2 linked regions of the Nothobranchius furzeri genome follow. The protein of the gene in region 1 purifies or fractionates together with the protein of each later gene. This does not show direct contact. Links are inferred from orthologs where the notes say so. Each region holds a gene or a part of one and is shown in the gene's direction. Other genes may lie near its edges.

Region 1 (3,766 bases):
CGGCCTCCCTATATCCCGTCTTGGTTGGAGAGGTGCCTGATGACAGTATATTCTAGCTTCATCTTTGCTACTATAAATGCCAAAATCCTCCCCAGGGTGCCGCGGCAAATCCCGTTTTGAAAACGCTATGGTCCTATAAAAACAGATGGAGAGCAGAACTGCTTCCCAAATAGGAATCTTGTACATGTTGCTTTCTTCCGTTGAGTGTTTTTTTGTCAAGAAATCGCAATTATACACTATTTTAGAGGAAAGCGCAAAAACAGAGATTCTAAAAACTGCTGCAGAATAAATAAAAAATGTTGAATAAGACCTGAGTTTATAGTGATTTCTGATTAAAGGCTGTTTTTCAGTTTGTTTAATTTATTACAGAAAAAAGTAGAACATCCATTTTCTCTTCCTGATTCAGTAATGATGGGGAAGCTGGGCGGAAAGGTCTGATGGGCCAGGTGTGGCCCGCGGGCCACCAGTTGATGTCCACAGCTCTAGACAAATCATATTTTCTCTTTATGTTCACACTGGATTAAAAGATCTGCAAGGTTTGCATAAATAAACCTGGCCTATTTATCTTTCTATGCACCGTTGCACAGGAGGACGATGCTCTGGGTTTACTACAAAGTGAATAATGGTTTCATTTAATCTAATATTACTGTTTTCATTTGATATAAAATTGGATTAGAAATAATTTATCACCCTGCCTGATTTTTTTTTAGTAAACAAGTAGAAGTTTATGAGGATTGCAAAAACTGGGATTAGTTATTAATAAATGTGCCTGATCTTAATGTTTTAATATTCTTATTCTAGAGGCTGGTCAGTTTACAGAAATTCTGTCATTATTTTGCTATAAAAAATAAACTTTTGAACCATTTTAAAGAATTCCAGCGTCATGAGACATGTTCTGACTCCCAGGCTAATTGTTTACTTGAAGTTGAAGGTGCGTCTGACTTGGCAGCAGGTTTTGTTTTTGACATGGCATAGACGATCAAAGCTGCTAGTGCTGACCACAGCTAAGGACTTAATTTGAAGCCAGGCCCGTCACAAGGTGGATACCTGTTATGCAACCACCGCTCTCCTGATGTATGACCTGACTTGGAAAGGCCTTGATATCATCATGGGACCTCTATATGAAATTATCTGTCTGGAAGTAAGCATAATCAATTCAGGTGGTTTGTTGGTTTGCTTCTGGAAACTGATGCAGGGATAAGTCTTAAAGGTTTTTGTGCATCTCAAATTTTACATAGTAATATTCTTTAACTTTATGTCATAGCTTTTAATGTAATTGTTTAATCTAGGCAGAGCTTAGCTTTTTTTGTTAGCTATAGAGGTTAGAGTTGTCCTGAGAAGTTGCTTTCCAACCCACCATTCAATTAGGTTTTCAATCACAGTTCAAATTGAATTGCCCTTTACTGTTTCTCTACTGATCTTTTCAAAGCCTAAAGTCTTCATTAAATCTCAGCTACAAACATCACAGACCTGCTGTTTTTCCTAGGAGGGTGGTGCATCCACAGATGTTGAGTTTCTACGGTTTTGACTTTAGTAATATACAATACACCGGTCATTCATTTGGTTCGCCTTTTACATGTGACACAAATCAAAGAAAATTGTTTATTCTTTAGTGATTTATGTAACAGATTGTTTTAGTTTTCAGGGATGTTTTTTACTCGGTCTTCCACAGTGTGCTTAAACAGTGATGCCCTTGTGTTCGCTGTTTTCTGTGCACCAGGTCCTTTTACAGATGTAGTTACCAGTAACCTCAAATTGAAGAATCCCTCTGAGAGAAGAGTGTGTTTCAAAGTCAAGACAACAGCTCCACGAAGGTACTGCGTACGGCCAAATAGTGGAGTCATCGATGCTGGTGCAACCGTCAACATCTCTGGTAAGCTTTTTACAGCTGTTTTAGCTTTTGTTATCTTGATCGCATAAAACTAGGGCTGCAGCTATCGAATATTTTTGTAATCGAGTACTCTATCAAATCTTTTTTTCGATTAATCGAGTACTCTAATAAATTACCCTTTTGTGTTTGTAAACCATTATATCAAATAACATGTTATAATTATGAAAGACCTCTTAAAATGAGCACGCAATTGCCAGTTATTCTTCAAGTTTTATTCAAAATTAGTTTGCAAAACTTCAGCACTTCAACTTTACTTCACAGTAAACAAATGTCTGTGCAAAACATAAGTAAACAACCTGAGCCGATTTCCCCCTCATGCGAGAATCTGCTAGCCTGCAAGCCAGACAAAAACTAGGAGAATAACTGTTGAAGTAGCGCTGCGAGCGGCTGTGGCCCAAACAGAACCAGAACCGCTCACGGCGCTTGCGCAAACAGCTCGCCAGCTGTTTCCCTATTAACACACGTCCGTTTTAATTTCTACACTTTTTTTCTCACACAATAACAAGGATTGTCGAGAAAGCATGTTTGCCGTGGTTATGTCCAATTACACAGATCACAAAACATTTATTTACTTTCTTGTTTTCCTCCGCCACTCATAAATACCCGTGTCCCTGCAGCAACCCCGAGGGACAACAAATATCAATAACAACACAGTAAAAAGTCCGACGTGTTGTGTAAAAACTGCTATTTTTAGCACATTTTAAGTCCGGCGTGTTGCTAGCAGACGTACGGTGTGAGCTGAAACTGAGCGCTACAAACGAAAAAGTCGCACAGTGTCCGCAGAATATATAGAAATTAGGGCTGGGGGTAAACGATTATTTTTAAAACGATTATTCTGACGATTATTTTATCGAATAGTCGACTATTCTAATGACTATTTATACAATTAATCTAATGATTATTTTTCTATTGCACAGTTAATAAAAACCAAAAAATCTCTAATAAATTCCTCCAAAAAATTGATTAATTGTTACTGTAAGAGAATAAACACTACAGGCCTCCCATTTTGTATAACACTGCTTTTATTGTGTTGGTTGGTTATGTTCTGGTGACGTGTAGAACTTGGGAGTACAGGCTGCTGCCTGAGAGGTGGTTGGAGACGGAGTGTCTCCATGCTGCTTCGTCTTGGTCACTTATGTGCGTGAGGCGAGTGGTGTTACGACTCTTCCTGGGGAGTTTGGCTCGTGTGCAAAAAGGAAGGGACAATAATATGGGATTTAAAAGTTAAAATGATGATCGGGTTTATTTACAACTACAAAAAACCAAATCTTTCCATCCACAGGTTGGGAGTAATAAAACTAATTCTGCCTGTGGGGAATTAAAACAAAAGTACAGATAACTAGGGATGTCCCACTGTGCAAAGATTACAGGGTTTTGGACCAAAATAAGAATCTCCAAAGTTCCAAACTCTAAACTGGGCGGTTAAACCAACCTCAAGGTGATATTTTAAACTAAACCGAAAACCCAAAACACTCTAAATGTAACAAAAGGGAGATTTTATTACATTTAGACATTTATTAATTTGTACCACAAATTATTATTTTTTATATGTGTTCAACATGTTTAAATATCGCTTGTTTAATTAACCAACATTTCTAGTGTACAGCGCCTTGTTTGGTTGTAATGCCTTGTGAATGCGCTTTATAAATAAAATTGGATTGGATTGGATTGTAAAAAGATGAACTCTAAACCAAAACGTAACAGCTTATCCAAACGCAAGAAGCTGTTAGCGAAAATGCTAACAGTAGCTTTACCAACGTTAAGTTGCCAAGTTTAAATAAACCAAAAACACCCAGCAGCAAACAGACCAGCTCGGAGGAGAGACTGCTACCACCAAAACAGCTCTCCTAATGTCTGAAAGAAGCTCCTTTATGA
Region 2 (3,766 bases), on another chromosome or scaffold:
CCAGCTGTAACCTGTTTCTGATCATGTCTTTAGTCCCGCTGTAACACTGATGCATCAGTCTCAGGCATCATGGAGCTCAGGTGTTATTAGAACTACCTGTGTGTGTTTACCACCCAGCTGCAGCTCTTCTGTGGTTGGGTCTGACCCAAGTTAGTAAATGTGAGTCCTCCATCAGATTTGTGCCTCTTCTAGTGTCATTTTAAAGGATTTTATTTATTTATTTATTTAACCGTTACTAGATTAGCAGCAACAGAAATGCTACTAAAAACACACAATTATGTGAAGCTGGAAAAATTAAAATGCTGTGCAAAATTACATTCATTTCTGTAATTTAACTAGACTGAGAGACCATTTAAAGGCCTGGGAACCTTTACAGGTGTTTCTATTTGCAATTTTAAATTTTAGCTGATTGGGGTCTTGTTAAATATCACACCGTGACCTTTTATTAGTCTAGATAAGTGTAATGTTCCTATTTGTAGTTCCTCCTGTTAAGTGCCTATTTAAATTATTCAGGTTTATAAAAAACATTTAGACATACATTTTATTATGTTCCAGTCATTAGTCATTTATATTTCACTATTGTAGCAATTTATAGTAAATTAAGTTCAATTAACCCATTTTTCTTGCATCCTTTAATGAAAAAAGTAACTAAGTAGTTATTTTTCTTGGTAATTAGTTACTTTTATAATCTCTTAACTCAGTAACTGAGTTACTTTTTTGACAAAGTAATTAGTAACTAAAACTAATTACTTTTTAAAAGTACCTTTCCTAACACTGGTTAATTGCATTTTAACTACAAACCTTTGAAATAACAAAACAAATATGTCTGTATAATCTTAGTACTGCACGTTTGATGTCAAATGAAAATGTCATTGCACATTAGTGGTTCTAGACATCTGAAATTAAAGCGTTGGCCTTTTTTATTTTTAGTAACTTCTTTATTCCCAGCTAATTTAATATCTTATTTTAATGCTTTGGTTGAGAAACAGTAACAGGAGGTTTTGACTTTTTAAGCACTGAGCTTGTAGGTATTTGTGCAGGAATGATGGGTTATCATGTTCTGCAGGAGTTTGCCAGCGCATGCTCTGCCAACACTGAGACAAGCAAGGTCGGCGGGTCGTTGGAGACCAAATACAAGTGGTCTGAGCATGGACTCACCTTCACAGAGAAATGGAACACGGACAACACTCTGGGGACGGAGATCACCGTTGAGGACCAGGTGATGTGGTGAAAATGGATTAGGAGTTTCCAAACAGTGATTTGTATTATAGTTTTTCTGTCTACACTGTGGCACATTCTCAGTTTTGGCTTCATTTCCTGTTTGTCCGACAGTTGACTAAAGGGCTGAAGCTTACGTTTGAGTCCTCTTTCTCTCCAAATACTGGGTAATGACTTTAGTCACAACTATTCTAACGGCGAATCCATCCTTTAAGTACATTATCATGAAGGGTTGAGTTATTATTTATTTATTTTTGTTCTTTTGTACCCCAAACATGCCACCAGCAAGAAAGGTGGCAAGTTCAAGACAGGCTACAAGTGTGAACACATCAACCTGGGCTGCGACGTCAACTATGACATTAACGGTACAGCCATTCACGGCGCTGGCGTGATATGCTACGAGGGCTGGCTCGCCGGTTACCAGACGACCTTTGAGGCCGGCAGGAACAAGATCACCCAGAGCAACTTTGCTGTTGGATACAAGACCGATGAGTTCCAGCTGCATACAAATGTGTAAGATGCAGCATGTTCAACCACCAGCACACGTGTGCACAATACATAATGCATTTTTAAACTGCATACAGGCTTTTCTATAACTTTGGTTTGAAGTTTCTCCTTGCTGCCCGTTCAGCTTTCTGTCAAATGCCAGGGTTTTTTACTCTTCATAGTGATGATAGGAGATAGAAGTGGTTTGCTGTGAAAGGACAGAGGGGTGTGGTGTCAGACAGGGAGCGGAACGGATTGGGGCTTGTTCCTGCTGTGCCCCCCAGGTAAAGCCTGTCAGTTACAGTCTGCAGCAGAAGCGGTAATGTGAGGTCAGACAAAGGTTAACGTAGGCTTTTCATGAGGCTGAACACTTCAGTTGGATGTGCCATCACTGATGGAAGCAGGACCGATATGCACATTCTAAGATTTTGGAGCTTCATATTAGGGATGTAAGAGAATATCGATATGGCAATATATCGTGATATTTTCCCAGCAATATTATATCGATATTCAAAAGCAGTGTATTGGAAATATCGATATGGCAATATATCGTGATATTTTTTCCTGCGATTATTACATCGATATTCAAAAGCCGTGTATCTAATTCCTGAAAGAATTTACATGCAAACATTTGTGTATTTTCTTTTCGTTTTGCGCAATTCAATCGCCAACTGCTAGTTGGCAGCAGTGTGCAGCGGGTTTTGTTTCCACCATTGAAATGTAAATCCCTCCATCATGGTTTAGATACCTCATGTTAAACATGTTACGTATCAGTTTGAACTGTTTATTGAACATTCTTACAATAAGTTCAGTAAAAATAATTGCTTGTAACGTTTGACTGAATGTATCGCAATATATCGTGATATATCGTATAATTTCCCCTGTATCGTGATATGTATCGTATCGCCAGAATTTCAAAAACACACATCCCTACTTCATATATATATTTTTTAAGCTTGCATGATCATTCCAAATAACATATCTGTATCATAATCTAATAACATTAGTCACAAACGGCTGTGTTTCACAGAAATGATGGCACAGAGTTTGGTGGTTCCATCTACCAGAAGGTGAATGAAAAGCTGGAGACAGCTGTGAACCTGGCCTGGACTGCTGGAAACAGCAACACCCGCTTTGGAATTGCTGCCAAGTATCAAATCGATCCCGATGCATCTTTCTCCGTGAGTAGCCTGTCTTTGAAGTGGCAGTAGCAATGGCGATGCAGTCCACCCCTAACCCTATTAACAAGTTGAATTAAAGTGCACCACAGTTTGTAGGTCTAGTGGTGTCTGGGTCCCATGCTGGGTGAGACGACTGTAAGCTTCAACTTCATTCAAGTAAAACAGCCCTTTGCTAATTTTGGCCTGTTCATCACATTAGTGGTAAATCCCCCTTGTAGCCAAGCCCATTAGTGTGACTGGTTGATTACTGGGGCCGTATTGGACTGACGTTGTATTCGTTTTTATCTGTTTACTGGTATTAATTCAAATTGCAACTAAATAATAGAAATTAATGAAAATATTTTAATAAATGTAGGAATTAGAGCTGTAGCTCTCTTAAAGCCTTTCACGTTTTAATCAAAGTTCTTTACAAACAGATGATTTTTTTAACTGTTTTGAAAGAAGATAAGAAGCTTTAGAATATATTTAATGTTGGCATTTACATAAAAAATCTGTTTTTAGCCCAAAACATTCTTTAAAAGAAGCTTTTAGGTGATAAATGTCATCACCATTGTGGAAAAACATAAAAAAAAATTGCCAGCAGTTCTCATGGAATAAAGTGTTGAAAGCCTGGTGTAGCATGATGTCAGAGGAAGCCCTTTGCTTGGTGACATCTATGGGATCCAGGCTTTAGGCCATCATGGCCTTCAGTAGATTCTCTACTTTAATGATCAATCTTTTCACAGGCTAAGGTGAACAACTCCAGCCTTGTGGGACTGGGCTACACTCAGACTCTGAAGCCAGGTGAGTTGGTCATTTAAAGACAATACGCCTAAATGCACTGAGTTCACACCGATCAATGTTTTATTGTAGGGATGCACCTATATGACAGTTTAGGCTAC

The links.
Region 2: the proteins of vapal (region 1) and vdac1 fractionate together in Homo sapiens (co-fractionation; 3 studies listed by BioGRID and IntAct, with this or other methods). This does not show direct contact. The link is inferred for Nothobranchius furzeri from reciprocal best matches to the Homo sapiens genes VAPA and VDAC1.

Annotation. Positions count from the first base shown.
Region 1 is NC_091751.1:42,874,768-42,878,533, forward strand, and holds part of vapal (VAMP (vesicle-associated membrane protein)-associated protein A, like), read left to right. Parts: intron 1-1,720; coding exon 1,721-1,873; intron 1,874-3,766. UniProt on the Homo sapiens protein: Endoplasmic reticulum (ER)-anchored protein that mediates the formation of contact sites between the ER and endosomes via interaction with FFAT motif-containing proteins such as STARD3 or WDR44.
Region 2 is NC_091750.1:59,851,149-59,854,914, reverse strand, and holds part of vdac1 (non-selective voltage-gated ion channel VDAC1), read left to right. Parts: intron 1-1,066; coding exon 1,067-1,219; intron 1,220-1,332; coding exon 1,333-1,385; intron 1,386-1,503; coding exon 1,504-1,731; intron 1,732-2,734; coding exon 2,735-2,885; intron 2,886-3,610; coding exon 3,611-3,668; intron 3,669-3,766. UniProt on the Homo sapiens protein: Non-selective voltage-gated ion channel that mediates the transport of anions and cations through the mitochondrion outer membrane and plasma membrane.